3 linked regions of the Drosophila melanogaster genome follow. The protein of the gene in region 2 interacts with the protein of the main gene of each other region in a biochemical or structural test. Each region holds a gene or a part of one and is shown on either strand. Other genes may lie near its edges. The genes, in order: phyl, ebi and sinah.

The links.
Region 1: the proteins of ebi (region 2) and phyl form a complex in vitro, tested with the Drosophila melanogaster proteins (one study listed by BioGRID).
Region 3: the proteins of ebi (region 2) and sinah form a complex in vitro, tested with the Drosophila melanogaster proteins (one study listed by BioGRID).

The regions. Positions count from the first base shown.
Region 1 is NT_033778.4:14,424,850-14,436,758, forward strand, and holds phyl (phyllopod), read right to left. Parts: upstream 7,489-11,909; 5' UTR 7,245-7,488; coding exon 7,059-7,244; intron 3,896-7,058; coding exon 2,879-3,895; 3' UTR 2,487-2,878; downstream 1-2,486. Other genes in the region: L (lobe), read left to right, coding at 11,269-11,311. UniProt on the Drosophila melanogaster protein: Essential adapter component of E3 ubiquitin ligase complexes; involved in R7 photoreceptor cell differentiation, embryonic nervous system, external sensory organ development and specification of particular muscles.
Region 2 is NT_033779.5:411,595-422,358, reverse strand, and holds ebi (ebi), read right to left. Parts: upstream 7,293-10,764; 5' UTR 6,971-7,292; coding exon 6,913-6,970; intron 6,848-6,912; coding exon 5,649-6,847; intron 5,571-5,648; coding exon 4,725-5,570; 3' UTR 3,823-4,724; downstream 1-3,822. Other genes in the region: CG13692 (uncharacterized protein), read right to left, coding at 1-116, 171-559; CG11885 (uncharacterized protein), read left to right, coding at 993-1,418; RpLP1 (ribosomal protein LP1), read right to left, coding at 1,801-2,067, 2,213-2,284; CG13690 (uncharacterized protein), read left to right, coding at 2,759-3,802; AP-2alpha (adaptor protein complex 2, alpha subunit), read left to right, coding at 9,535-9,634, 9,701-9,912, 10,122-10,577, 10,641-10,764.
Region 3 is NT_037436.4:16,853,462-16,861,789, reverse strand, and holds sinah (sina homologue), read right to left. Parts: upstream 2,711-8,328; 5' UTR 2,533-2,710; coding exon 1,477-2,532; 3' UTR 1,261-1,476; downstream 1-1,260. Other genes in the region: CG13029 (uncharacterized protein), read right to left, coding at 57-480, 539-636, 749-1,093; sina (seven in absentia), read right to left, coding at 4,428-5,372. UniProt on the Drosophila melanogaster protein: E3 ubiquitin-protein ligase that mediates ubiquitination and subsequent proteasomal degradation of target proteins. The adapter phyl is required to direct the degradation of the two isoforms of the transcriptional repressor Tramtrack (Ttk).

The sequences.
Region 1 (11,909 bases), on a different chromosome or scaffold from region 2:
AGCAAATTCGCTAGCTTTTTTTTGCCAAATCATTTAACGAATCTTGCGCAATTTGGCTACCCGAAATTGAAAGCGAAATTCGCGCCACTCGAGAACCGAAGGTAACTAGGCCACCAAAATAGTCGACAAAAAATCGGCAAAATATTGGTAAGTATATATAGATATAGTAACAGTAACAACAGCAAACCCCAACCAGTCTGCCTTGCCTGTGAAAGCAACAATTTGAATTTTATTGAATAATATTCGTAATTTCTGTCTTCGCAAAGTGACATGAACGTGACGCATGCGCCCCCAACTCGAGTTTTGAATTTGGATACTGTTTTTGGCACTTTTTGCTTTTGTATTTTGTTGTATTTTATTTTTTTTTTTTTTTGATTTTGGGGCGAACTCGCCCGCGGTTCATAATTGTTCATAAAGCGGCCGTTAGCATTGTTATTGCCTTGTCTCCAGCCTCTGGGGCTGAATTTCGAGTACTCATGCCTTAATCGTTGCCGTGCGTGCGATTTTTTTGCGGTCCCAAGGTATTTGTTGTTCACTTTTCAGCCGAGTTCGTTTTTTCTCGATTTCGGTTTCTTTCGGCTTCGATTTATTAAACAATTTCAATGGGCATACTGGCTTGTACACAAGTGAATGATTTTTCGCACACACGCATCCCGTCGCGCCGCCCACAGCAGCCTGACTTTTATACTTTAATACTTTGTTTTTTTTTTTTGTGTTTTTCGAAAACCAGTTTTTTTGGGGCGCTTGGCCAGCGCACTGAACTAATTGTCGCACAATTTTTCACCGCGTGGGCAAAATTCAAAAGTGCAGCAAAATATACGATCTAGCCAACGGGAAGCATTTTGTGCGTACATTGCATAATATTTTCGTGGGAGGGGGGGGGAGGGATATATGTGGGGTTTGTGCATGCCCCACAGGCTCTTATTGTAATCACATATGTAGCAGGGGTTCAAACGATCGCTTGATTCAGCTTCCTGCCGCTGGGGCTTTATTGCCGAATTCACTTTTAAATTTATGCTAATTAAACGTGCTCAAACAGGAACCGAACGAAAACCAGTCGAACATCTCGTGTTTTCCAGAACAACTTGCACTCATTAAGCGAGAGTTCATCTCAAGCAAATGGATATAAATATAAACCATGTGAATTATCGCAGTTGAATTAGGCATTAATTCCTTGGCAGTGGATATAATTTAAATATTTTTACATACATCTTATGAGTATGAAACGTGTTTCACAGATCGGTTATATCGATATTTAGAATAATATTTATTTTAAATAAACGATTTCCTTAAGTACGTTTCTCACGGTGCATCACTAACCTTAGACAAGTCTACACTTTTTTGGCAAGACCGCACATCCTTGGACGGGCTAAAAATGTCGCACAGCACTCAATGATTTAATCTCTGACTGACAGAACGTAGAACGTGCCGTGTGGCAAGCCGCTCGAAGCTGCCTCAACCTTGACCGTCATTCGTAGGCGGCAGAGTGGCGAGAATCGCGAGGCGTAAGCTCTTCGCACGGCCATCGGGCGTATACGCGATTTCCGGAAACTGCACGCTCTCTCCGTCTCCTTCGACGTGGCGGCAAGTCATCTTCAAGTTCAGAAGGCACGATGAATTTTATTTATAAATAAAAGTAACCTTAGTCGCCGTCTCAATAAGGCGTACTTGAAGTGCGCGTAGAAATTTCCGCACCACATTATTAACGTTGCCAGTCATGTCGGCGAAACCACAATTGCCAGCCAGCCAGCCAGCCAGCCAGCCAGCCACTCAGTCATCAGTTCGTGTATTGATGAAATGCCATATTGTAAGCCAAAATAAGTATACGCACCGCTGTCTCAGTTGCATAAACAACAACAACAACGACGATGCTGACCTCCACACGTTCGTTCTCACTACGCAATTGCCTAAATCAAATAAATACGCTAGAGCATCAGAAATCAACAATTACACATCGGACTTTCGCACGCAAGGCGAAAACTAATGATATATGTATGTATTTAAGAGCATGTCGTTCGTTGGTTCTGGAATATCTTAAAATGGATTTCTAATGTGATGAATTTTCTTAGCTTTTCTATTAGTTAACTTATTAGCAAATATATTGCAGAAAATTTTTAAGTAAAACATAGTAATTTTAGTTAATTTAACAATTAACAATTTAATTTCTCGTACTTCATATTTTATGTTAAATATTGAAGAGAAATATTTTCTGTAGGAAAATTTTCTGCAGTTCTACATTTTGATTTTGGCGCCACAAGACAGAAAAATTAGAGCATACTTTTTGGCGCCGTGAAGAAAACAAGTTGGCAGCCCCAATTTAGTAACGAGAAAAAGTGCATACTTTTCAACGTAAAAATTTAATTGGATGAGTAACATTTGGCGGGAAATGTAAAATTAATTTGGTTTTCATAAAGATCACTCCTTATTCCTCGGAATAAATAGAAAATTCATACCACCCGTACATTTAAATATAAAAACATTCATTTATATACTGATTGCTTTTGTGCTATTTTTATTTCGCATGTTATTTTGAAATACTTTTGTCTTTTGGAGCAAACAAACAAATTCAACTACATTGGCTCGAGGGGATTCTCTTTTTTGTTTTTTTTTTTGGGTAAGTCAGGGATTTGCCTACGACTAATATGTATATTTTAAATATAGCTTTCCACATCCGTTAACTTAACATTCTTAGGTCTTTTGTTGTTTGTTTTGTGTGTGTGTGTTTTTTTTTGTCCGCTAATTAATTAAGGTATTTGACTAACAATTAAAATGTAATCGAGGTACTATTAACTTAGACATTTGCTAATGCTCATAATTTGCGTATTGTGCATGCAATTTGACTATTTTGTGTGCGGGGCATCAATTGGACCCATCGTTTTTAGACGAGGCTAATGCTAAGGCCCATTGGTAATCGCAGGCCAGCGAGTTGGATTGAAGCTTGGTGGGAATTTTGGTGGCTGTTTCCTTGTTTGTGGTGGCTCTGCGGTTCCAGTGGCGCTTCCGCCTCCTGCACCACTTCCAGTTCCGCTCGGCCATCCACTTCTTCCTCCTCCTCCAGCTCCAGCTCCATTTCTTGTGCCTGCTGGTTTTCCTTGTTCTCCTCGTGGGTAACCTGATAGCGGGCAGTTGGCAGGACTTCGGATATGGCGGTATCGAATTCCAGCAGTATCTCATCATCATCGAGGTCCCGCGTCCAGCGCGGCGCCTCTTTGAGCGGACTCATGATCTGCGGGAGTTTCGAGCAGGCGGGGTTTGATTCTGCTGAATATGCGGCGGGTTCTTCCCGACTGAGTGTGGTTCCCAGTCGACGGAACATGGCCACTACTTTGCCATCCACACTGGGCTGCGGGAATCTTTGGTAAGTGGGCGTGGATTGTGTATTGAGCACTGGTGTGGGTGTAGCTGTAGCTGCCACATCCTTAACCAGTCGCTCCACTGGTTTCCGGCGCGGCGCCACACACTCCACCTTGCAGATCGCATTGCTCCTCTTCTGGCCCTGCGGCCTAAGACAGACGAACACCGACTGCTGATTGCGCTTCTTGGGACTCCGCCGCAGACTCTCCACACAACACTGGCGCAGCACTCGGCTCATCCGGCTGACGGAGGCACTGCGTCTGCTGGCTCTTCGCTTCGAATAGACTATGGGTGCGGGTGTGGGATTAATTGGAACTTGGGGCTGCAGTTGGGGCTGCGATTGGGGCTGCACTCGCACCGTGGGTCGAACCATCGCCACCGGACGGAGCTTCGTCCTTTCCTGCTGCAGCACACTGTTGCCCATGTGCGAGGGACTTTGGCTCTGGCTTTCGGCCTCATTGCTGTTGACCGCCTGCAGGGAGTGCCAGTTGATCAGCCAGTTGTTGCAGCTAAAGCAGAGGAATTTGTCCTCGTTCAGGGGCTGAAAGTAGAGATATATAGGGAATAGATGAGTACGGGTAGTAGAAGTAGTTTTATCTAGACTATAAAGTTATTGCTAATCATAATATACTAATCATAACTATTCAAACTCATTTGGTCCTTCAATTAATTTAATGGCTGAGTAATAACCCATTTTATAAATTGCTTACTGCCTTAGACTGATATGTAGCATTCCAAGTAAAGGATAAAAAGCCATTAGAAAGAACCGAAGGCGGTTACATTGTAACTTGCAGAGCCACGAAGGCCAATCATTTATTGATTATAGCCATGAAACCGTTAAGGTCATCAGGAACCAACCTTAGAATGAAAATTGACCCAAATCCGATTGCGTGACTCGCAATCTGAAGCCAGGCATAACCCACAGAATAAACCTCTAGAAAATTACGATACGCCTATGCACTTAGTGATCGCTCGCGACACCCGACCACTACCACCACCACTACCACTAATGAGCATCCAGCCAGAGGTGCAAAAAAAAAAAAAAGACCATAACAATTCCGAAAAACAACTGCCAGACGACCCGGGCATATTAATTACCCAGCCAGACCTCAGCATTCCTCGGGTATCAATAATTTCGTGCACCTGCCAGCAAAAACTAAGCGCCCAGCGGTAGCAGCTGGCCCAAAAGGTACGGAAAACCAGTAACCAGTAACAAGCCAAAGGGACATTCGCTACTTAGTTCGAGCCTCGAAGGAAACTCGTTTTCGGCCAAGAGCCACGCGCCCTATCCATATATATAAAAAAAAAAAACACATAATGCCGAAGTGGAACCGAAGCGGGAACTGGGTTAAAACCCCAACTATGACGACCATTAGGCACGCGCATGCGCGACAGCTGCGCCGAGAAATTAGATAAAGGTGATCGGTACGAGGGTCGGGGAACCGAAAGGATCGACCAGGATGGCGATAGAGGAGGAGGAGGTGTGCAGGGTAGAAAGGATCAGGAGCGATTGTGGCTGGCTGTTTACCTTTGGGTTCGGCGCTGAAAAGGTGTGCTCCAAGGGCCATGTGTAAACGGTATAATAATGCAAATTGCAGGCCAGGTGCAAAGCAGACAGAAAGCCACACAAACACACACACACACACGCACACGCACGCACGCCGATCGCAGATGCACTGCGAGAAAAAGGTGTGCACTCCTAAGATCAGTTAAATATGGGCACATGAAAAATATGTTTAAAAGTACTTCTATTAGTTTGAAAACAACTCTTCGTGCTTCTGTTAATATAGCTGCATATTTACTCAATTTGTAATGTTCCTTTTTTCTAAGTGCATAAGAGTGGGAGGTGGGGGGGCGCAGTCTGATAAGGTAATTGCAACTGGACTTTATGGCACTGTCATTCAGAACTCGAGCTTATAGAGAACCCGGCGAGGGTGTTGTTCCTGTGGGGGAGATCGGTTGCCAGGCTACGATCACGGCAGGTGGTGTATGCCCACCGTATAGGGTTTCGCAAAAACGGTTCAAACGAAATTCTAACGACGTCCGGAGGGGGTGAATATATATATATTCTATGTGCATAGAGGGTGAGCTTCTAGTGTCTGATATTGCGGGGTTAGCTGAGGGTTTTTGTTATTATGAAATCGCATTGCGTGCGTCTCGAGCATTTCGTAATTAAATTGATTGCTATACACACAATACTAGTTAAGCACAATGCTTCAATTAATCTAAGACCGAAACATATATTCCGAAAATATGTGGAAATACAATCTACCAATATCTACCCAATATTTTAACAACCTATGTTAGCAACCACTTAATATTGTTTATGTTTTTATAGGACTTCGTTTTAAGAACTCTCATTCTGACTTTGTAATCCAATTGAACGGAAACCTTAGTAAAAACTATTTCCCAAAAATACCAAACTAAACGAAGACCTCTAAATGGAAATCTTGTCTAGCTTGGCACTTCTGGGACTTCGGCTGAAAATTCGGGCATTTGAAATCACCTTTGTAAACGCTATTCCAAGGGTAGATCCTTTGTTTGGATTTGCGCAGCTTAAGAAACCGGAATTTCTATCCAAAGATATTTGGCATTCTCCAAGGGTTCAACCACCAATGCTGCTGGGGAAAATCCCTTCGTCTCACAAACAATAAACTGTGAACTCGCATCCAGGTATCCGAGTTCAATAGTTGATATGCGAAAAAACTCACTCGAGACCATGAAGAGCTGATAAAGAAGCAGCAGCAGCAGCAGCAGAGGATCCAGAAACCCCGATGGGTTGGATTTTGAGTGCCGACCGGCAAATACAGCTGTCGTTTTGGGATATGGAAACGAAGAGAACGAACACACCGGGTTCGTTCACTGCCCGCAGAAATTGGAGCAATCTCGGCAAATCCACAGCACATCTGCCCTTTCGAGCAGGTTTATGTGTGCGCCGCCGGTACAGGTAGTCATGGGTAGTCATTTGAGTGAGGAGGAGTGCCTGTAATCCGAGACCCGAAACTCACTTCCACAGAAAAACAAGCCCAGGATCTTCAGCCAGGATCGATTTCCCTGGCCATCTTCCGCTGTCGCATTTCCCACACACACACACACCGCACTGCTCGCATATTAGAACAAGCTGTTAAAAATTATGGGAAAGGAATCGAACTAAGTGGCGGCTCTGTGGCACTGGCACATATGCAAAGTGTCCAATTACCAAAGGTTGTCGGGGAAATGCATCATCTGCTCGGCGACAGGATATGCAGTTTAAAGGGCACAGGAAAAGGTGGGCATACCACAAAACTAATAGGGATAAAGGATTTTGAAATTTTCATTAAGAAAGTAGTTTGTGATAGAACTACTAATTCCGAGACCTTAGTTCTTTGCAAATAATCACTTAAAAATATTAGAAAACTGCGCTCGAAATCAATCATCAAATAGCTTGCCACTCTTTTTTTCCCAGTGGGCTGCTGTGAGGGAGTTACCTGTACCTGCCTATAGAAGTGCCACCCATTTTCCCATTTTCCGCCCAGCGAAGTTCATCCCCTTTTAACCCAAAAAAAAAAACACACACGGATACACGCGCAGAGGGAAAACTTTGTCCGAAGGACGTTCCTTCGTTGCATGACTCATCCGCCGAGTTGCCCCAATATCGATTTTTATACGTTCCCCGCCTAACTGAGTTTTTATTTTTTTTGCTCTAAGTTGGGAAAAATCCATACCTGAAACTTGAATTTCGCCTGGATTAGCTGAACGATATTGGGTCCGGAGCGGGGCTCGTAGATATTGATCGTCTGGTTGGTGTGGCAGCCGCAGATGAGGCAGGTGCGTTTCAGGTATTCCGAGGAGGCGGCGGGTGCGGCAACGGCCGCCGAAGGATTCGCCTGCTGCTGCTGATTGGTAGACATCCTGGCGATTTTTCCCAGCCTCTGACGTCACCAAAGGTCGCACTAACTTCTGCCGATATTCGACTTTCGCACTCGTATTGTATTTGTATTTTCACGATTTTTTGGGGTGCCGCGAAAATGTGGCAAACAACAAATGCCAAGCGGCGAACGCGTGCGACAGAGCGAGAGAGCGGGGAGAGCGAGAGCGGGACAGCGAGCTACGGAGCGGCACGTCCTTCGCGTTGCACGCACAAATTTCGAATGAGCCTTGCTTGTCCTCATCGCATTCTGGGCACCACTTTCAAAATTTGTGCCTGCGGGCTGCCACATCTGGCAAATGACATGCGAGAGTGGCGAGCGTTGTCGGATCGATGGGAAAAATAAGAGATAAAGGATAAGCTAGACACTAATGAAATAAAAGTCATGCAAAATATATCATATTTTCAAATCATATATATATTTTCAAATATAAAACAAAATTTAAAAATATTTATTTATTTTTGTATAATTTTTATACTCAAATGCAATTTTTTGGGCTCAGATTAAGCCTGGTGTTTTTGAAAAATGAAAACATGTACCATATAACCCAATATTGCAGTGAGAGAAAAAGCAACCATAAGGGTGACATAGCCGAAACAAAACAAACAGGCGGCATATGTTCACATTTAAGGGCGCCAAAAGGGATGTTGACTGCTAGGATGACTAGTGCGAATTCTGAAACAGGAAACGGATAACAAAAGGCAGTGCCAGTGGAAATATGCAGCAGAAGTTTGACAATTTAACCACGAATAAAATTCTGATGACTGATATACTTTTATGCCAAATAAATATTTATAAAAAATAAGGAATAACAATGTTAATGATTCTTAACCTGCTGATAAACCTTATTTTATAATTTTATTGCCTTGCAAGGCGAATTGCCAAATTCATTCAGCGATCAGAGCCTCGCAAATTTTATGAATGAATCGAAAAGCACCGACAACTGTCTCCGAATATTTTGACAACTTGACCTATCTGAACTTTCGACACTCAAGCTCGTCCCTCGCGTCCAGTCCTTTGGATTTGCTTAAGCCGCCGAAGGAATCGGTGGCAGCTGCCATTGAGCGACAAACGCCGAATTTAATGTGGACGGCCTCCTCGACGGGCACTTATCATTATGGAGGACCCGCCGGCTCAACACAGAGCCCATATCATCCGCGGCACGAATAGCTTGCAGCATGTGCGCATTGTGGGCTCATCAACAGGCTGCCGAGTGCAGAGTCTGGTGCTCCCCCCAAACCCGTCGATCCTCCGCAACGGCGACGAAGCACCGACAGCAACGGCAGCTGCTCCAAAAACAAAAAAAAAAAAAACAAAAACACAAAAGGTGCGTTTCGATTTTTCGTTTTTTACCCATTTTTATGCGGCATTCGGGCAGTTCAATCATATGTTCTCTGTGTTGTTGCTCATTTTGAGCCGGTGGTGTTGCAGCTTGCAACCGGATTTCTTCGTGGCGACAGATGTTTCTTCTCCTTTTTTCTTTCGTCCGAACCTTCTTCGTCCGCTCCTCCGATTTGCGACGATCTTCTCAGATCGCAGACACTGGGTTAACTGGCGCTGCTCGCCGCTACTTTTACTACGCATCTTCGACGATAGTAAACAATGGAGTAAGGAGCAGGGAGTAAGGAGTAGGCAGTAGGGAGTAAGGAGTAAGTATGGGGCACGGAGGTTCCAAGCGCAATCGAGGCCTCTGATGAATGAATACATGAATGGAATCAGGCGAGGGAGTTGCGTGGCGAACGAATAATGTATCCGGAACTGGACCCTCGATCGATCGATTTCCGCGACATATGCGTATCAAATTTTCATGTAGATCTCTGGGATCCCAAGAGAGGAAGTGCCCAAGGTGCCAGGATGAGATATCGAGGATAAGAATGGGATAACGAAGTTTTTTTTGGAGATTTATGGTTAAGCATTTAAATATTTATTATCAAGATCTCTATTGTGATCCTATCAATATGTTTAAACAAATGGTTTTGGTGCATTTGAAAAAATTCGGTTTTTTGTATTCCCATTTTTAAATCACTGCTCTTATTTATTTTACTTCGACTTTGACTACGCAATTAAACACTATTAAAGCTAAACTACACTACGCAAAACTAAAGGGTACCGTCTAAAAACAATTATTACGCCATTGTTTGTTTATTAATTGTACATCAAATTTTTTTAATCTCTTATGCAATTTGACTTTAAGAGGAAATATATTTATTTTAAACATACCGTTGCCTTTAAGTGTCACACCAGCGACATCTATGGAGTCACAGCGCCAGTCGCTACCAAACAGTTTTCAAGAAATTACTGTAGGTGGCGCCTAACATTCAAAGCAAGGCGAATTGCGGCGGCGAAAAATGAATTCAATCGGTCTAGCATAATTTTGGTCAGTAATTGAATTTCTTTTGTTCGCATTCAGCGAAAACCATCCACAAGATCTATTATTTAGAATCCTGAATATCCAATAAATATTGAAATATGTAAAAGATATATCGTTGTAAGCGATTAAATATATTTTAATGTTATATCCAATACAATAGTATTACTAATTCATCTTCATCAAAATATATAATTCGTTCAGCTGTCTTACTATTTCTGTACTATGTGCAATAATATACCTTTATATGCTTCCAAGTTCTTAAAATGTAATGTAAAAAAAAAATGAAAAAAATATGTAAAAACACCACTCCAGTGGTGAGTGCACTCACAATTTGCCAACAAATAATCCGCTTGGGAAAATAAGTTTTATTTTCCAATTTTGAGGTTTAATGTATACCACTAATTTCCAAGAATTTTTCTAAACAATTTAGTAATATGTGCAACGTTAAGTCCCCATATGAAAACGTATACTTTAAACAACAAACGGCGAAGTAACAAAAGATATATAAATATATAACATAAGAACATAAGAACGATTTCAAGGTCACAGTTTGATCTCTAACTAAAACAGAATTTAAATTCATTCTCTAACACATTCTGGATTCACAGTTGGTTTATCTTACTTTGTCTTTAGCACAACTTTAAATCATTCCTTAATTCATTCCATACCAATCTTTGCCTTTAATGAGTCTCACCACATCACCTTTCGTATCCCAAGCGTGTGGTACTCCTGAAATATGGATGAGTGGATGGCACAACAAAGGATCCATTGCCCATGTCGTCGTCACCCGCTGCCAAAGCACTAGAATTTCTGCTTCTGGACACGTTTCTCACGGTGCACCAAGGAGCTGAGCGGTGTGCGTTGGTTATCCCGCTGCTGAGAAACCAAGTGGAAACTGCAATTCGCAGGGCACCTTGGGAGAATCGAAATCGCCTCGAGATCGCGCCCCTTTTGATGGACCCCCCATACGCACGTGCGAAAGTCGGCTATAAAATAATTGACTTGACTTTATAATTGCAACAGGCGAGCGGGGAGGGCAACAAAATAGAAGAATCTATCACACTGTGAGCAGTCGGCATGGGTTCCCGGGCTGCTGGGCTACCGGGCTACCGGGTTCCCTGGCTCTTCAAAAGGCACCCAGAAACGCTCGTGATTGGTGCCGCGCCGGTATTCTCTAGGGGATGGAAGCGAAGCAACCCCCAGGGGAATAAGTTCAGCACTGATAGATGGTTCACTGCTTGGATGTCTGGGAGTTCTTGGGTGGCTCTGTTCTACCACCTCATCCTGCTCTCTCCGCATCTGATTGCTCTCTCTGCCAATCTCTGTCGCTCTTTTATTGTTCGCGACTGCGCTGTGGACATACCATTTTGTTTTAAGAGCTTCTGTTTTGATGCCACCTTTTTTGGGCCAGCATTCAGTCAGTTGCCGACGCTCAAGGCACAAGGATATTCGCTGCGTTTGCCAGGACTCGCTGGCTGTGACACAAAAAACCAAAACAAATCGCTTTGGCGCGAAACGGAAGCCGCACGGCGAGCTAGGCCCACTCAAGCCAAATCAAATCAAATCAAGTCAAATCAAACTAAAGCAGCTTTATAAACGGAAACGGAAACAGTGATTTAAATAGCCAACGTGGCCATGTCCCGACGCAAACAGGCCAAGCCGCGCGCCTGTCTCAAACGTAAGTTGGGCGCCAGTGGTCAGTGGCAGGACTCGAATCCCCAGGTGGCCACCAACTGACATGGTCTCCATTTCCATATCCTGAGTGTGTTCCAGCATGTCCCACTGCTTACGAGTGTACTCCGTGTGTTTGTCTCTGTTTGTGTGTGCGTGCATCTGATTGATTTGCTTTGATAAACCCCAAAGGTGGGGGGGAGGGGTGGAGTGGACACAACATTACTCTGCCAAACTTTGCTCGCGGGACCGCAAAATGTGACAAATGCAAATGGCCTCGGCCTGCTATGGCCCACAATCCGGTCCGGTTGGGCTATTGCCCATTTCCCCTGCCCTCCAGTTTCGACTACCGATTCCCGGCCAGAGCATACCATGCCGTACCATCCCAATCCCATTCCGTACCCAAACCGGCTGCAGCCCAGCAGCTTGCAGGCATTGGTCAATCCCCAGGGATCAACACACCTAACTGTCAGTGATAGAGAGCGACCAAAGAGGGGGGAGGGGGGGAGGGCATAGTGGATGAGGGAGCCCTGGTTGGGACCCGGCTGGGCGGTCGGCTGGAGGGGTCGGGGCAAGGCGGGGACGAGGCAGGTGCTCTGGGGGCC
Region 2 (10,764 bases):
GCTGGCGGATCTGTTTTTGCAACTTCTGCATCTGCAGCATGAGCAGAGCCTCGTTTCGCATCTGGCGGTAGGAGTAATCCATTTTGGCCAGTACCAACAGGATCTTAGTATTATGCCTGCGACGAATTTAACTAGTGCATGAGCTTTCAGTTCATTTCCACCTTACTTACTGCAGACGCGGCTCGGTGAGGATTGAATAGAAAAGAACGCCGGCGGCTGAAATCTGACAGAGATTAGAGGTGTCCACGACGTAGATCAGCTTCTTGACATCCTCGAAATACTGCCTCCACAAGGGGGCCATACTCCCTCCAATTTCCAGGATCTGTATGGACTTGGGCAGATTTTTACCGCCATGAGGAATGTTAGCTGGAGCTTCTGAGGGAGGAGGCTTATTTTTATCCCCATTTGGCGATTTTGTTGGGAAATGGATTCGGTAAATCCCAGTGCCAATGGTGGGCATGGAAAACGTGGTCTCATCGATGGATTCCGGATCCTGTAAAGCTTTCAAAAGGTGCGTTTTGCCCGCTCTTTTGGGGCCCAAGCAAATGCAGGTGGACATTTTTGCTTTTACTTGGATTTTATTTATGGATCTAACAAAGGTAGCCTTGGTTACCAAAGTTTATTAATTAATTAATTAAATTAAAATTGTAAAAGTTAGTTCAGTAAGCACGTACATGTTGTTATTTCTGGCTTATTTTATATATAAAATATTTACAAATGGTTGAACATTTAATATCAATCGCGTAATCGAAATCTTGTGTCAGTAGTTCAATTATTTTCTGCATGATGGCGCTCTCAGGAAATCAGTGCAAACGTTTGAACTGCGTGCTTCGGGAGTCACGAAACTCGGAACCATTCGGCCACACTTCATATTAGCACATCAATGCATAATGACTATCGATAAAACATCGATGTATTTTTCATCGTTTTTTCATGCTGTCTCATCGTAAACAATATCAACATTGTTAAACGCTTTTAAATTCTCTCAAAAAATGAACCACACAGCAAACAAACCTCGACAAATCGGATTCGACAGGCAGTTCTCAGCGGACGTGAACGGCGTTCCCACGGAGATAGTGTTCCACTGCTTTGCCAAGAAGTGGTTCTTAGTCATAACGCAGCTCGGCAAGATTCCCGGCATCTACAACGTGCACTTCGATGTCAAAAAGGACGAAAGAGTGGTTCCCTATTTGCACGGACCCGTGGACAATCCGGAGTTCCACGTATCGGTGCCAATCACGATGAACTGCTGCTTGGGCTTGGACACCGACGAGACTCGCAGCGCCATACAGTTTCTGGTCAACAGAACCGGACTCCACAAGTGCCCGACGGAGTTCGTGGTGGGCTTGGGTCTCAAGAAAATCGACGGACCCAATCTTCGTGCCCTAGCTAAGGTCCTCGAGGAGACGTTATTCTAGTCTGCGTTCGTTATATCCAATAAATATTAGCTGTGACAGTTTTTGTAAAAAAAACCTTGAACATTTTAATCGTAGCCTTCAACCCGGCTGACCAAATTATTGGCCATTCTACTGCAACCTCTTTCATGTGCTTAAAAACCCAAAATAGAATCTACTCACAAAAAGGCAGTGGAATGACCAATAACATAGTAAACCATAATAATTCTGCACCGTTGTGAAAGGAATGAGTCTCGATAATTTTTTAGCAAACGTCTTCTATATTTCCTCACATTTGTACATTAAAAACGTGTACGCAGGTCGGGAAACGGGTACACGTCCACCTCTCGAGGATTACAGCACAAACACAACGGATGTCCGGTTGTCGAGAAGTTCTCTAGAGGATTTAGTCGAACAGACCGAAGCCCATGTCGTCGTCAGACTGGTCGGACTCCTCCTCCTTCTTCTTCTCCTCCTTCTTGGACTCGGCGGCTGGAGCAGCGGCGGCGGCAGCAGGGGCAGCACCACCGGCGGGAGCGGCACCAACTCCGGATCCGATGTTGGTGATCAGGTCCTTGACGTTGATGCCCTCCAGGGCCTTGGCGAAGAGACCGGGCCAGTAGGGCTCCACCTCGACGTTGGCGGCCTTCAGGATGGTGTTGATCTTCTCACCCTGGTGAATCCAAAAAATAAGATCAGCACAAGTTGCAGCAGTGCGAAAGAAACCATAGGACCCGCAAATTGTCCAATACTTCCGGCCGATGGCCGCGGCTTTGGAGGATTTGCTTCGTCCCCGATTGCAATATCGAAAAACTTACGGTGACGGCGACATCGTCATCGACGAGGATGAGGGAGGCGTAGACGCAGGCGAGCTCGGCTTTGGTGGACATGTCGAAGTGCTGTGGCTAATCACTGATTGTGCAAGTTGCCAAAAATTAATTGTTTATAACAAATGGCCTTAGCTCGGGACGAGAACAAGCACGCTGGTCAAAATCCTAAACCGGAAAGAGCAGTTGATATGCAGTGTGACCGCGCCGATGACGAAGAAAAATACCAACCGTCTATGAAAATTTGCATATTATTGTCAGGAAATACTAGGTAGAGGAAAACTCGTTCAAACTGCCGAGATTATCTCTTATTTAAACTAGTTTATTTTTAAGCATCTTGGACAGAAGCCTTAGCATAATTCTCTGGTTATATGTTTATCTCTCTATTTTAATAAAAGACCTTTCCGTACGGTTATTGAGAATATTAAAAAAAAGATATTTTGGTATAATGACGAATGAGTCACACTGCAACTTTATGTATACAATTAGTGTGCCCATAGCGTCGTTTAAACGTAAACAAAAAAAAAGCGCGCGAAAATGTCGGACCAAGAAGACGTAGTTGTAAAAAAAGAAAAAAAATGTATAGAAAATATTGATGAGAACGACGAAGAGCCCGATGATGTAGATTTTAAGGACAGCGGAAAAATAAGCTCCTTGAAGGCCCTGGGTCCATTTATAGCCGGCAAGGAGAATAGCCGCAACACGGTTTACCTCAGCGATGTTCCGGATATTTGCAAGGATAAGCCGTGCATGCTGGGCGTGGACGAAGCAGGGCGTGGTCCCGTCCTGGGACCTATGGTATATGGGATCTCCTACTGTCCACTGGAAAGTAACAAGGCTTTAGAGGACCTGGGATGCGCCGATTCCAAACAACTAACCGAGGGGAAACGTGATATCATATTTAACGATATCAACACCAAGGAATATGCGACCAGTTGCGTTGGCTGGGCCGTGGAGATCATATCGCCGAACACGATCAGCACCAGCATGTACCGGCGGTCGAAGTGCTCCCTGAACGAAGTTTCCATGGACTCGGCCATGGGCCTTATCCAACAGGCGATCGATGCGGGCGTCAATATAGCCGAGGTTTATGTGGATACGGTGGGTCCGCCGGAGAAGTACCAGGAGAAGTTGCTCAAACGTTTCCCCAGCTTTAAAATCACCGTGGCGAAAAAAGCTGACTCCACCTATCCAATAGTCTCTGCTGCTAGTATATGCGCCAAAGTTACCCGTGATCATGCCCTCAAGGTGTGGAGCTTCCCCGAGGGCTTGGTCATTAAGGACAACGAGTTCGGCAGTGGATATCCGGGAGATCCGGTCACAAGAAGATTTCTGACCGAGTACATCGATCTAGTGTTTGGATTTCCACGACTTGTGCGCTTCAGTTGGTCCACCGCGGAAAACGCACTGGCGGACAAGGCCTATGACATGGAGTTCGACGAGCCGGATTCCGAGAAGCCCAAGTACGCCGGCACCAAGCTCACAAAGTTCTTTAAGGGCACAACAAAATCCGGCGAAATAATTCGCGAGGAGTGCCGCTTCTTTAAGCAACGCCATCTGGAAAGTGTCATGGAGTTTTAGCAACAAATGAAAATAAAATTAAGTTCAGGAGTATCTATATTTACAAAGAATAAAGTTTAATTTAAGTACTTTAGTATTAAATTTTAAAATGCTAAAATACAAAAAACACCCAGGCCCAAAACGAAAACAGATTAATTTTTATCTTTAATGTATTTTTGCTGATGTTCTTGTGTTTCCGCCAATCTCGTGTTCTTAATAATTACGTTCGATTACTGACTACGTGGGACTGCAGTTACACTGTTCTGAATGTATGCGTGAATCGGTCTGATCTGATCTCTTGGCATCCCTTTTTTGGAGGACAACTGTGGAATTGGGTAAAGGACTTTTGGTGGGGAGGGCGGGGAGTTGGCTGGCATCTTTGATCGATACAATAACAAAATGCAAAGTTATACTAAACGATTTTCGTATAAAAAGGGACGACCTTAGAAACATGGAGCTTATGATTAAGATTAAAATGAGGCGAGTCGCATCCCGCTGATCTGAAGAGAACAACAACCATGTTGAAGCCCCCAAAAATCCCAGGTGCATATCGATATTTTGTGACTCGAAACTAAGCGTACGAAATAGACGTGGACAAAAGCGGGAGGATCTCATCTCAAGAGGTATACCTTAAAGAACTAATTAGAATTTAAAGCAATTACAAATACGATTGCAGGGCGGGATAGCTAAGAAAGGAGTTACCTAAGGTCCGGACTCCAGATCCAAATCGACTTATGTTGGTAGAATTGTAACTGATCATATTTCACTTCTTTAAAAAATATAGTTAAATGCAATTTTTGAATCAAAAGTAAAAACTTCTCGTTCCGTAAGAAAGTGAAAAACTACCGATTTCATTTTTACCAAATAATGAGCTGGAAAAGGAATCTTGACTATTTTAAGCGTTGGCTCAATACACGAAATCCAGTTGTGGCTGCTCCGGCAATCAGAACTTTCGCAGGTCCAACACGAAAACGCTACCGTCGGAGGCACTGGCACCCACCTTAGTGCCCTTGGAGTTCCAGCACACCTCAAAGATTCCGCCCGTGCCCTTGTAACTGTGCACTAGCTGTCCCGTTTGCGTGCTCCAAATGTGTACGCACTTGTCGAAGCTGCCGGAGGCCAAATGCTTTCCATCCGGACTGAAGGCCACCGAATAGACTGGCTCTGTGTGCTTGGTGAGCGTGTGGATACAGCTGCCCCTCTCCACGTCCCACAGTCTTACCGTGGAATCGAACGAAGCGGATGCGAGGATCAGGTTTGTGTTTGGATTATTGGTTCCCGGCCCCGTGGGCGACCATTTTATCGTATAGATCTCCTTTGAGTGAGCCTGCAGATCGTGGCAGCAACGATCTCGGTTCATGCTCCAGATCTTGAGGGTCATGTCATCAGAGCAGGACGCCAGCAGTTGGCCCTGCGGACACCACTTGATTGCATTCACCTCGTTTGTGTGTCCTTTAAAGGTCTTGATGGGTTCATTTACACCCAACCGGCACACATGTATCCGCTGATCCGTACTGCAAGAGGCAAAGGCCTGGTTTGTCTGCCAGTCCACATCCAAGGCTGGAGCACTGTGAAAGGCAAATTGCTGGGTGCATTGGCCCGTGGATGCGTCCCAGATGATCGTCGTCTTGTCCACGCCAGCCGAGAGGATGTAGTTGCCGCACTTGTTCCACTTCAGAGCAAAGATCGGACCCTTGTGTTGTCCCAAAGTAGAAGCAAGTCGACCGTCGGTTTTCCAAATTCGGGCGTAACCATCGTAGCTGCCGGTGGCGAGCAAGGAACCATCGCACTGCAAAAACGAGAATAGATTAAGTAAGGATCAGAAATCAAACTTTGCAAGGCTTAAGTGCCAAGATCTTCGACTTACATTCCAGTCCAGAGAGGTGACGTCCTTGTTGCTAGGCACCTCAGCGCCGCCTTTCTGGATGCAGTGGCGCAGCACCAACTGGTTGGAGTTAGTGTTTGCATCGGACATGTCCCATATCCTAGCAGTGCTGTCTCCCGAACCGCTTGCCAGTAAATCCCGGCTAGGATTCCATGCGCAGATAAACACCTCGCTTTCGTGGCCGCGTAATACACGAGCCTTGGATTCGGGTATTTCGATGTTCTCGTCAATGTCCATGGGAACAAGAGCTGCGGGAGTCCCAGCACCTCCGCTGGTAGACGAGGAGATGGTTCCACTGGGAGCAGAGCTTTGAGCATTGGACGAACCAGACTGCACGTTGTTTCCTTGGGCTCCTACGCGAATCGTAACCGCTCCACTTGGCGCCTTTGATCCTGTTGCAGTCGAAGCTCCGCCCGATGCTGCTGCGTCCGGATTGGAGGTTGATACAGTTCCACCAGCGGGCGTCAGCCCGCTTGTAGGTTGTTCTACGCTGCTGGAAGTGCTGCTATTGCCATTTGTGGATGTTGAGGAGGCTGCATCATCGGTACTGGTAGCATTTGCATTGCCTGCATTGCCACTAGATGAGCTTCCCGCTTCATTCGAGTTCTGGGATTTCTTTTGACTTGCCCCAGGTGCTGCCAAATCTCCACCAGCTGGTGTGCTTGTGCTATTAGATCCTCCAGTACTGGCCTGGTTCCCTCCAGCTCCATTGTTTCCGGCGTATGTGCCGCCAGCATTATTTGCCGCATTTCCACTGGAGTCTACCTCGCTTGCCGACTGATCGGTTGGTGTGCTTGTGCCCGTGGTGCTGCCAGCAATTTTGTTTCCACCTGCTGAGCCCGCCACTCCGGTACCCGGTTCTATTTTTATCTCAGGCTTGGCATTGTTGTTCTGGTTGCCACCGGCAGGGGCAGAAGAGTCGACTGCCCCGGGTTTTCCCGGCTCTGTTTTCACAATGGGCTTGAGTGGCTTCACCTCCGGCATGACAGCGTCTATTAGAGAGAGTCCTTCAATGGGTCGCGCCACCTCGCCGTCTTCGCCTACGCTCCACTCCACTTCAGTGTACAGAAGACCCTTCTGCAGGATGGTGAGCAAAGCGGCAGGTGGAACCAATGCGCCATTGATATTACTTTGCGAGATGTGTGACTCAATGCCAAACACGTAGGCCGAGTGCAGAAAGCCTAGAAAACGGGATTGCATGAGATTAGGGCGGGCTGTTATCTTGCGATTGGAGGGTTTTACTCACCCGACTCCTGCAGGTATCGGTAAACCAGAAAGTTCACCTCGTCGCTGGAAAAACTCATGACGGAACGCGGTTGGCTCCTTCTCCTACTACTAGCGCACTCCAAAATCCACTCCTATCTCCAATGCCAATTATGTTTTTACGGTGCGAAAATCGGAACTGTGCTGCGTAACACATGCGTCTGCATTCGGCACGCTTATCACTTCGGCGCAAGCCACGGTATCCGGTGCTACTCCTGGTACTTGGATCGATCTGGTCGGTCCTGTGTTTTCAATTCTGCCAGTTTGCTGCTTGCCGCAAGAGCACTTCACATATTTTTTCCACAAATAAAACCGAGGGATCGAAAACGCGTTTCTGAAACGCGCAAAAAAATGGCGGAGTAATCTCAAGGTGTGCGCTGCGAGAGGTTGCGCAGCCTTGTGTTTTGTGACGTCACAAGTTTTGACAACAACTTAATCAAATTTGAGTCATATTTTTGTATTGCACCAAGCGTTACCTTAAAGGATAGAACGGAAATTTATTAGCCATAAAAACAATTAAGAAGATATTTTTGGATTTCTGCTTGGAGCAAAAGGTAAAAAATTCTTAAAGCGAATTGTCGTCTCTCTTCGTCCATCCCTGTGTACCCATCCCTCGAAGTAATCATTGTATTTCAACCCAACGCTCTACTGGTCACACCAATCGTTCCACCCGCGCCCGCTAGATGGCTCCACTCTTAGGCAGCGAGAGCGAAGAAAAATCAATAGAAATTTTCATTTTAGTGAATTGCCCTGCACTTGGTAATAGTTAACAAACAAATTAGCGGCAAATCAGCGAGGCGAAGCTCCAGCGAGTTGGAGTTCCATAAAGTGCAACACGCAGGGTCAAACATTCCGCAGCCAACACCCCGGATTCCGATTCCAAGCGAAGCCAACTTCAGAAGTCAGAGATTACTCTCTCTGCTCCGCCACAGAAATTCCGCAACGCTAACCGATTTTGTCCGCTGGCGAGTAAAAAAAATCGGAAAAGTAAGCTCAAAAAAAAAGAACAGCTAACATACGCCCATTAATGTTTTTGGAGGCTTCTTCGGTGCTTTTTTTTTTGGGCAAAACGCCCTCGTCATCCAGCGGTGAAAAAAGTGACGTGACATGAAAGCAAAGAAAGAAGAGAACCGAAGAGCGCAGTGAAAAACAGAAAATAAAACGAAACGGAAAGCAAAGTAAAAAGTATACTACAGAAACAAAAGCCGGTGGTCGCGCAAATCCAAATAATAATGCCCAAGTGCACATCGACTTCGCCAGGCGATAAAAAGTGGGCGAGCGAGGTCACAGAATCTTTATCAACGGGCAAAACGCTGCCAAGTTGAAAATAAATCGGTTGCCAAAAATGCGGGGGTACACTCTACTTCCACCAGAAAATGTCAAAGTTCGCCAGCCATTGGGTGCACTGGCCGGAAAATCAATCACGTAGTCCACTATTTACCGTTTAAAAGTTCTGAGTTTATTAAACATTGGATTTTTTATACATATAAATCGTTATCAGCGCTTGATGCTCAGTGAAATGTGTGGTGCATACATATTTTGTGGCGTTTTCGTTATCAAAAGTAAAACTGCAATACGGACTTTCAAAATAGAAGCTGTATCAATGTGTTGGCATGCACAATAAGCTACTCCCTGGCTAAATACAAATTGTTATCCAAAATACCTTTTGTTTGAATAATATACGTTTGTTAACACAAATACTAAAACGTAATCATAATACTAAGTTTTCCCATTCCCACAACCCACAATAAATAGAGTATCGTTTCCCCTTTCAGGTCCCAAGGAACGGCCGAGATCCAATCGAAGTAAAAAGAGCTTTGCAGAACCAGAGCGGAGAGCAACTATATATCTTAGGGTCCGACGTCGAGTTCGAGCGATAAGAACGCCTCGAGACTCGGCCGCCATCCATTGACGATTTTCTTGCGCCCCCAGTTTGCATAAAACCAGCGAAAATTAACAAGCTAACTACCATGGCGCCGGTGCGGGGGGATGGCATGAGAGGCCTGGCCGTCTTTATATCGGATATAAGGAACTGTAAGTGCAGATCTCTTGGGTAACCAGCATTAAATCCAATTGAGCGGGTCGCAACAAGAGATTTTCCATAGGGGCGGAATCAGCGCCATTACTTGATCAATTACCAGGAGCAGCGCACTGACAAAAACGTGGGGCGGTACAAAAACGCAGGAACAGTAAGCTCTCTGCCAGATGAATTACAAAATATTGGCTACTTTTCTTCTCCATTCCTATGTAAATGTTTTCGTAGTCGTTACATTAGAAAGATATGAGAAAGTTATATATATAGTTATATATATGGGTACAACACAGCAAATAGTTATATCAATGTGAATCGGTTGCCTCTCAGTATTAATAAATACTTACAATTTTGATAGTTTGATGACTTACTGTAGTACTTCGAAGCGTGCATATGTGTGTGCGCAAGAGTCCGACGCTTCACTGTATGGTATTATTATCACAGCTCGTTGTTTGCTGTATGCTCGGTTACTAGTTTCTGGTTTGTGGACAACATATAGGAGAGCAGAGGTTCCGCTGCGGATCGGTGACTGGTACTAATTGACGCCTATGTGAATCGGAGAAAATCCGCGACATGGAGAGAGCTGAAGGGTGTGAAGTCGTCTCTCCGATCGATCAATCGCGGGGTGGAAAGGAAAGCGAAGCTTCCGCAGACGAATCACTGTTGTTTTACTGTGAATCTCCCTTATACCCGCATAAGACACAAATTTCTATACTAATATTCACCCATTTGCCCACAGGCAAAAGCAAAGAGGCCGAAGTCAAACGCATAAACAAGGAGTTGGCCAATATACGAAGCAAATTTAAAGGAGACAAAACCCTCGACGGCTATCAGAAAAAGAAATATGTCTGTAAGCTGTTATTCATATTTCTCCTCGGCCATGACATCGACTTCGGGCACATGGAGGCGGTCAATTTGCTGTCCTCCAACAAATACTCAGAAAAGCAGATTGTGAGTACCCCAAAAAATTGCTTCAATAATCATTTGTTTATTTAGCGAGTCGAAATAATTGAACTGAAAGCAGACGACTCTGCTTGTGGGAAAAGGGAATTTCATTCAATTAAATTTAACTTGTCGTTGTTTGAAGTTTGATAAAAATAATTAAAAAATTGGTTTTTTAAATTTAATGTTACTGATAAAATCTGTTTTTTGAACTTTAGGGTTACCTTTTCATCTCAGTGTTGGTGAACACCAACAGCGACCTTATTCGGCTGATCATCCAATCTATAAAGAATGATTTGCAGTCGCGTAATCCTGTGCACGTTAATCTGGCACTACAATGCATTGCCAACATTGGAAGTCGGGATATGGCCGAGTCCTTTTCCAACGAAATACCCAAGCTACTCGTCTCGGGCGACACCATGGACGTGGTGAAGCAGTCGGCGGCGCTATGCCTGCTCCGCCTGTTCCGCTCCTCGCCGGACATCATTCCCGGTGGTGAGTGGACTTCGCGCATTATCCATTTGCTCAATGATCAGCACATGGGAGTGGTCACAGCGGCCACCTCGCTGATCGACGCCTTGGTGAAGCGCAATCCGGACGAGTACAAGGGTTGTGTTAATTTGGCTGTTTCACGCTTATCCCGGATCGTAACAGCCAGCTACACGGATCTTCAGGTACGATTTAATGCATTTTTTAAGGTAAGAAACTTCTAATTACTAACTAAATTCGCATTGCAGGATTACACATATTACTTTGTGCCGGCTCCATGGCTATCGGTGAAACTTCTGCGATTGCTGCAAAACTACAATCCAGTGACCGAAGAGGCCGGTGTGCGGGCCCGCTTGAATGAAACTTTGGAGA
Region 3 (8,328 bases), on a different chromosome or scaffold from region 2:
TCATTTCGGAAAGTTCCTAAATACACAGTACATTTTTTGGATAATGGTTGGTGCTATCAAAAAGTAGTGGGTGCCTGTTTGGTTTGCCACTTAGTTCCATCGTGGGGCAGAGGACTCCTAATGCTGGGCGAAATAAATGTCCAGAGGCCTCGTTTTCCCATGAAGGCCATGAAGTTGCCCAGTAGCCCTTGATTGTATCTATAATCCTTTGGCGTATAGAATGTGGTATTCAGATACAATGCTGGTATCTGATATCCCAACATTATGAGTGATAGAATGCAGGCATAGATGTTGATGATGAAACTTATGTTCAGTGCTATTAACTCGCAGCTCATTGGTTTGAGAAATAGGAAAAAGCGTGAAAAGTGTAATACAACATATTGCCTCCGAATTTGTTCATCAATTATAAGCAGATTTACATGCGTTGCCAATGACAAAAGTGATCCAATATGCATGTAAACTGTGAACCAGAAAAAGTACCTTTGGAAAGGAATGGTGGTAAAGTTACAATAATATCGCTGTCACCAGTAACTATTACCTGTAATTAGTGTGGCCAACGCAAGTCGCAGTGAAGATGCAGTGATGATCCCGCCTCAGAATGCAGCATTCACACACTTTGCAGTGCCAGGATCTGGGCTGTATTAAGTGTCACATACATATTTTGTAATAATGTTTAGTATCCGCACATCCACTTTTTACAAATGCTTTTTCGTGGATATACAGAAATATTCTATGGCAAATACTTTACCGGCACTAACATCTGGCAGTGGTCACAGAAGTGCCACAGGTGCTTCTCCTCTGGGCACGGAATCTGGCGATCCTTGGGCAAGGAAGTCACCGCCGAGGAGTTGCGATGGCAGGCTAGCATATTTCCTAGCAGATTGTAGACAATAAATAGTGCCATAAGCCAGGCGATCTTGAAGAACAGTCCATCGGTGTCGTATATCCTGGGCAACATATAGAACATTTCCACCGAAAAAAATAATACCGTTCCCACTAGAACGAATCCCACTGCGCTGGGATGTACGATCTTTGCGAACCGCTTCGGATTGGCGTTGGCAATGTACTTGCATCCTATCATCATGAAGCACATGGTTATATAAAAGATACAAGCTGTAGTAAGAATTATGAGTTTTATGTGTAATTCCAAGGCTTCTTTCGAAATTAGCACATGACAAGTATCTGAGTGAAATAGGGATTGTAAATAAAATTCACCGGATATGAAACCCTATCCAAATTATATATGAAACTCTAAATGATACGTTTCAATCCTTTATTCTTTTCCTAATGTAAATCCTTAAAACATCAACACCATTCTTTTGAATCATAGTGATTTTGAGTAGTTCATTGGAATTCATAGGACTAGCTTAGCACATGTATTAATTTAATATGCACTTATCTAACACGCTAACAGCTACCAATCAGCGACGAAAGTCCAATTTATAGGGGGGGGCAGAGATACGGATACGCTAGGGGTTAGTTGGTACGCTCCTCCACCTTCCTAATGACCACGTTCAGGGCAAGATTACCGTCCTCAGAGAACAGTTCGACGGTGTGCTTATTGAGCACCAGGAAGTCGGCGTTGGTGAACGAGGAGAAGTTCTCACGGATTGATCTTGGCTTGGATTGCCAGCGGAGAGTGCGATTATAGGCCTCCAAGGAGATGTTATACACGAACTCGGCGGCATCCTTCATGGAGCCGATCATCCGACAGGCGGTGAAGTACTGCTGACAGTCCTCTCCCAAATTGATCTTCTCCAGCGAGAGGAGGAAGTGCCGCCCATGGCAGGACTGCACCATTGTCCAGTCGAGGGCACCCTCCAGATTCACATTGGTGGCCAAAAAGATGATGTCGTTGCCCTCCATGGTGATCACGTTCTCGTGGGAGCTCATCAGGTGCTGGTATACGTCCCTCAACGGTCCCTGCCAGGAGCACTTGTCATCCGGATACGGGCAGAAGTACGGACGGCATTCGCAATCCTCCTCGTGCTTGGTCTTCTCTGCGTAAGAGAGCCGCGCTCTGCAGCCGAAATGCGAATGCTTGCAGGGAAAGATCAGCTTGGAGGCCACCTTCTCCATTGCCAGGCTGCGGATGTTGGTCATGAACACCCGGCAGACGGGGCAAATGGTCAACTTTGAGCGGCAGGTGGAGCAGATGAGGTGGCCACGCGGGCACTGCATAATTGGCGGCATTATGTAGCCAAAGCACACCGGGCACTCGAGCAAAGCCATTAGAAAATCGTCTCTTGCACCACTGCGTGTTGTGTCCAATGGCCCAGTGGCCACAATTCCCGACTGCACAGCCACCGAGTCCTTCCGCCTAGACGGCACCAGTTCTCCGGCAGCGGCTGCGTCCGGGGATTGCCGCTTGACCACCACAACGTGCGTGGTCTCCTCCGGCGGCACGACCAACGCTGGTGCCGATTGACGACGAGTCAACATTTCTCCGGATGCCGTTGGAGTGTCAATAGTCCTTTGCGGACTTACCCGCTCCGGCCACGATAACTGGGGGCGTGAGTTGCGAACAGACATCTGTGCTTCAGCCAACAATCAATGCGCAAGCTATTAATCCTAAGACCTAACAACCAAACGATTCTGAAGAATGAGAGTGCCGATGGTTTTACTTTTTTTTTACTTTTTCTGAACACTGAAATTTTGCTTAAAAGAATTCGAAAATACAATCTGTACCACAATACAACGAAGCTAAAAGTATAATGAGCTACTTTTACTTCGGAGCCTACTTGCTTTAAATCATTTTAAAATCAGCTTAAAAATTTATTTTTGAAATTGGCCTAAGTATCCTAGTAAGATACCAATCCAGCTAAATCTTTAAGATGCTTCGGCGGTGCACCACTAAAAACTTGTGCCATCTATTATTGCAACGTTTTAAAACGCATTAGAAGTAACCCAAGTATCTCAAAGATAATCCAAATTAAACAGATAACTGATTTAAATCGACAAGTTTATAAAGTGGCGTAGCTCTTCTTTGTAATTCAGCTTCCCCCAGATTAATTTCAATAATTAACGAGCATTGTTTACTTTTACTAATCATGTTTATTTCAGTTTTGTAGTTTTGTGTCTGTGTGAGTGATCTCATATGGTAGTGGCGCGGTAAATCGGCGCATTAAAAGCTAATTACGGTGCAGATGCTTAAAATCATTAATTTTTCTTCCGTTTTCGATTGGGAAACGTTGGCCGAATGGAAATCAAAACCAAAACATGAGCCAAACCGGGGAGATCGTCTTAACTAGATAGAAATTTAAACATTAACATTGCTTTATATGTTTGGGGGGACTTGGGGGGAAATGGGAAGGGGCAACTGTCTTTTTAGCATTGCGAAAAAAAATGTTTTCTTTTTTTTTTAGTGTGTTTTTGTTATTTTGTGATGGTTTGGCATGAACAAAATTGCGGGTCGCAGTTTCGTTTAGGCTGCAACTTTCAAACAACTCTCGAGTTATTACAGATTATCGCTATCAAATATTACTTTTCTTTGTGGGTTATTAGGTTTGTTAATTTCGTTAAACTGTTCGTTTTACTTATTACCATTTACAAGTATTGTATAAAATAATTTACATTAACTAAACTAGACTTTGCAGTACATGTTCGAGTGGATGAGTGACCTCCTCGCCTTTCTTGCTGTTCTCCTCGTTTTGGTGAGTGGGTCTGTGTGTTCCTAGCGTTCACTGTAGTAGGTGGTGGGCACGTGGGCACGCGCAGGCAGCTCTGCTCCAGGTGTGTGGACCTTACGAACTAAATTAAACTAAAGCAGAACCCCATGAACTAACAAAACGGGTAACACTGAAACTTTGAAATATATAGTATTGTGTGTGCGGTAACTGAAAAATCATGTCCTAGAACTAGAGTACCAATCGAACCGATTAAACATACAAACATACAGGTCAGCCACGATTTTCGCATTCGACAGGAAAGTGTGTTATACAAATCTGCGAAATCTCACCAAAAATATTTGGCATTTTTCTGCAAACGAGTGAGATTTACACACAGTCATGTGCAAACTAAAAATGAAAATACGAATTTTAAACGCGGTTTTACAGGTTTAACGAACGTGTGCAATAAACACTGAACATCACTTAGCAATTGCTTTAATACGCTTTCCATTTCGCTTTGGAAAATTGTGAGTGTCTTAGCTTAAAAATCAAAGAAAACTGCGATATCGTGCCGAATGTGATAATCGAAGCAGCCTGATATTTCCATAGATATATATACATATGCATGTAAGTGGCTCTTAGAATAGAGAATCATTTTTATAAAACAACTCTGCAAAACTCTTTCTTCTTAATCTCCAGACTCACAATCTGTCCACGAGTTAGACGCCTGATGCGAACAGAGGGCTATAAACTATATATGTATTTGTATCGGAATAGTAAACACAAGAAATGAAAGAACCCGACGAATTGACAGTGCGTTTAGACCAGAGATATGGTCACGTTAATGCCCAGGTTGCCATTGTCGGCGAACAATTGCGCAATCGACGTGTCGAACACCAGGCAGTCCGAGTTGTGAATTGCGGAAGCGACGCCCTCGTGGATCGAACGCGGCATTGCCTCCCAGGTGAGCCGGCGTCGGTTTCCGTTCAACTCCAGGCGATAGACAAAGTTCTCCGCTTCCTTGCGCGACCCGATCAGCTGAACGATGGCAAAGAACTGCTGGTGTCCGTCGTACTTCTCCTGCTTCTCCAGCACGAGCATAAAATGGTGGCCGAAGCAGGACTGCATCATTACCCAATCGACGGCGCCGGGCAGGTTGATGTCGGTGGCCAGGAACACGATGTCCTCGCCCTGCAGCGTTGTGATGCTCTTGTGCGACATCATCAGATGCTGCATGACTAGGTCAAGCGGGCCCTGCCACTTACAGCTGGCGCCCGGGCACGGACACAGGTAGGGCCGGCACTCGCACGTCTCCTCGTGTTCTGTCTTTTCCGTGTAAACCAGCGAGGCGGTGCATCCGTAGCCGGAGTGCTTGCACGGGAACTTGACGTTCGAGGCAACCTTCTCCATCGCCAGGTTGCGGATATTCGCCAGCGGACCGCGGCAGGTGGGGCAGCAGGTGAGCTTGGAGCGACAGGACACGCACACCAGGTGCCCGCTGGAGCACTGCAGGATCGGCGGTAGCACATAGTCAAAGCACACGGGGCATTCAAACAGCGAGGTCAAGTCGGCGGACATGCCCGCATCACCGCCACCGGCGGACGACAGCGAGGAGCTGGACGACGAGGATGTGTTGGCCGAGGACGTGTTGCCGGCACTGGAGGATCCGGTCGAGGTGCTCGTGTTGGTGGCCACTCCCGTGGCACCGGCTCCTGCTGCTGCTGCTGTCGGTTCGCGGCGCTTCGGGTTGATTTTATTGGACATTGGAAGGGTTCTCGCAACGGCACGAATGTGTCTACAATTCTTCTGGGTCCCTGCAATTCTCGCCAGGTTCAGGTTCTTCGCCCTCCCGGTGGCTTCGGCAATGGCTTTCTTGTGCTTCTGTCTAAAATGAGATACAATCACAGGTCAGTGAGTAATGCGGTCAATTTAGTCATAGCATATGTATAATTTTTTTTTCTTTTTTTTGTAATTTTGTTCGTTCAGTGATAAGAAACTCCAAAAAACAATAACCTACAAAACCATACAGATATCTTAACAAAAATAGTTTGTTTCGATTAGGCTTAGTTAATCCAAAAATAACATATATCAACCAACAAAAAAAATCACAGTATAACACACTGCATAAATGCTGGTTTAAATTTGAACATATGTTATGAGCTTTCTATCGATTTTGCGGCTTAAGTTCGGAGCATACTATTGATTTGAATGTTCATTCCAAACTATTGTGCCCACTGGGACATGAGTAATAGGCAAAAATATTTTTCCATGAAGTAATAGAAATGAAATGAATGCAAACTGTGTAAGCAAAATCTACTCGATTGCTATAAAAAATGTTGCCCAGCAAAACTACTATCCATTTGTAATAATTTAATTTGAGCCTTATTAATTTAAAACTTATTTCGCGTAATCACTACTACTAGGTAGTTCGTTTTTCGTGCCGCCCAATAGAAAAGCCAAAGCGATTTATCATTCCTGGCCTTAACCTTGCCGTGGATTCCCAATTGTTGTAATTACCGAAAAAAGAAAACACACGCATTTGCGTGTATGGGAATTGCATTTAAGCAATTACTTAAAGCGGAACGTATCGAACCGGAGTTGGTCTGCGAAAAGCAAAGACACAGCCCGAGGTCGCCGTCACGTCTCCGATCGAAATGAAGGCCCGATTCCGATTCCAACTCCGAGCCCAAGCCCAAAAGCCTCTTGGCGGCACGTGTGGAACGGCGCAAATATGTTGGCTCTTATCAGGCGGAGCTGACGGAGCCGACGCTGATGGACGGCCATTAGGGACGTCGACCCATGGCGGGATTGTGCGATGGTGGGTGTCGTGCTGGTTGTAATGGGTGTGGTTCGGTTTCACGGGTTTGTCCACTTTGGACAGAATGGGCACACATTAGTGTGAACAATATGCTGTGGGTGCTTTGGTGCGTTTATAAGATAAATATCAATATAATAATATAAAGTTTTCGTAATTGTTTAGCTTTGATGTACAAACAAAACTTGTTCTCTTTCCTAACGGGAATATATTTGCTATATGATTGCTATCAAAATTTTGTGTGAAAGGAGTTCAGTAATATTGTTTATATTCGAAAACAAACTCAAACCTAAAAAATAAATAATATGTTTCCTTATTAACCCAAAACAAAAACACATGAAACGCATGAACATACAAATGTTTAATACTTTACCCTATATATTGGAAAAATTATTTGAACATTTGCCATTATGAAATTCGTACCATCGCCCGCATAAACGTAATATCGTAATGAAGAGTGCGTAACGTAACAAATGCAACGAGGATGTGTAGGGGGTGGGTGGCGGTAGGGGATGGCAGCCGCGGGGAGGGAAACTCACACACTTACAACACAGACACAGATCGCACACACATAATTAACAGTTCGTTTACGTTGCGTACCGTTGGAAACGTTCATACGGGGTAAAAATGGTAATTGCCACAAAAGTCATAGCCATGAATATAATTAACTTAGCTTCTGCTTTCATGAGTTGCAAAATGGTAAAATAGAAAACGTAAGTTGCGGAGCAAAGCGAAATGCGACTATCTTTCTTTAATTTATGCCGCCATTAAGTGCGACTAGGCTGCTGTTTAAACAGCAACAACAACTGCGAAATACATAATCGTTGATATGTAAACTTACATGGCAGGCTGCCTCCAAGAAATTGTGCCGAGGTATTGGTGCCCCGCTGCGTTGGTGTGTGTGTGTATGTGTATATTTTATTTTCTTGTTATTTTTTTGTTTCCTTTTTTATCAGTCAGTCAGCCTTTACGGCCATGCACACACACACACGCATACAGCCAGCATGTGTGTGTATATATCCTAGGTGCAAGTTCCGTTTTTTACGTTGCAATTTGTTATTTTTTTAACCGCATATATATATATAACCAATGCAGGTGGTTTTGCTACTGCACACGCACACTGGGAAAATGGAAAAACTGTTTTGATTGCTTTTCGCCTTTTCGTTCACCTTGCACCGAACCGAAACTCGAAATTCAGGCGTGAGCTAATTTCATTTGGCTTTTTATCTAATTTTCTTTAACGCGACCCGCACACATACACATTTATTCATATTTAGCTTTACTAGTTATTTTCGCCTTTTCTGCCTCTGTGTTGCTGCTGCTGCTGATGTTGTGTTGTTGTTGTTGCTGCACAAAAATAAACCATTTGCATTTACACACAGGCAGCGAAATGGGTTTTTTTCGTGTGTCTCACTTTTTCTATATTGCGTTCTTTGATCGTCGCAGTCGGCGTTTATTGCACTTGCCCTTGCGCGGTGTGGAATTCAGTCTTTTTCGGCATTCTCCATGTACTTTGGGCGTGATGTCTGCCTTTAGCTGGTTAATTAATTAATTTACTTTACTATACTGAGTTTCTTCTAATGTCCGCGTCGGTTGCAGAGATGGAACCCCAATTGTCGTCTATTCGATTCCAGATAGTCGATTACACGCAATCGGCAACATCGCAGTGCCTCCTGGTAGCTATCAATTGCTGTCATCGATTACTTAACAGCCTTGCCACGTTTGTCAAATTAATTTAATAACAGGAAAACATCAGTTTTGAAATAATACAAATCGAATCAGGCGCATAATTTTTAAAGGATCAAAGTTAATAATGTAGTCTGTTACTCTTATTGACAACTAAAGCCTAATTTTTAAAATAATTCATTAATAAATACTTTTTTATGATTTATAGTATTTCCAATC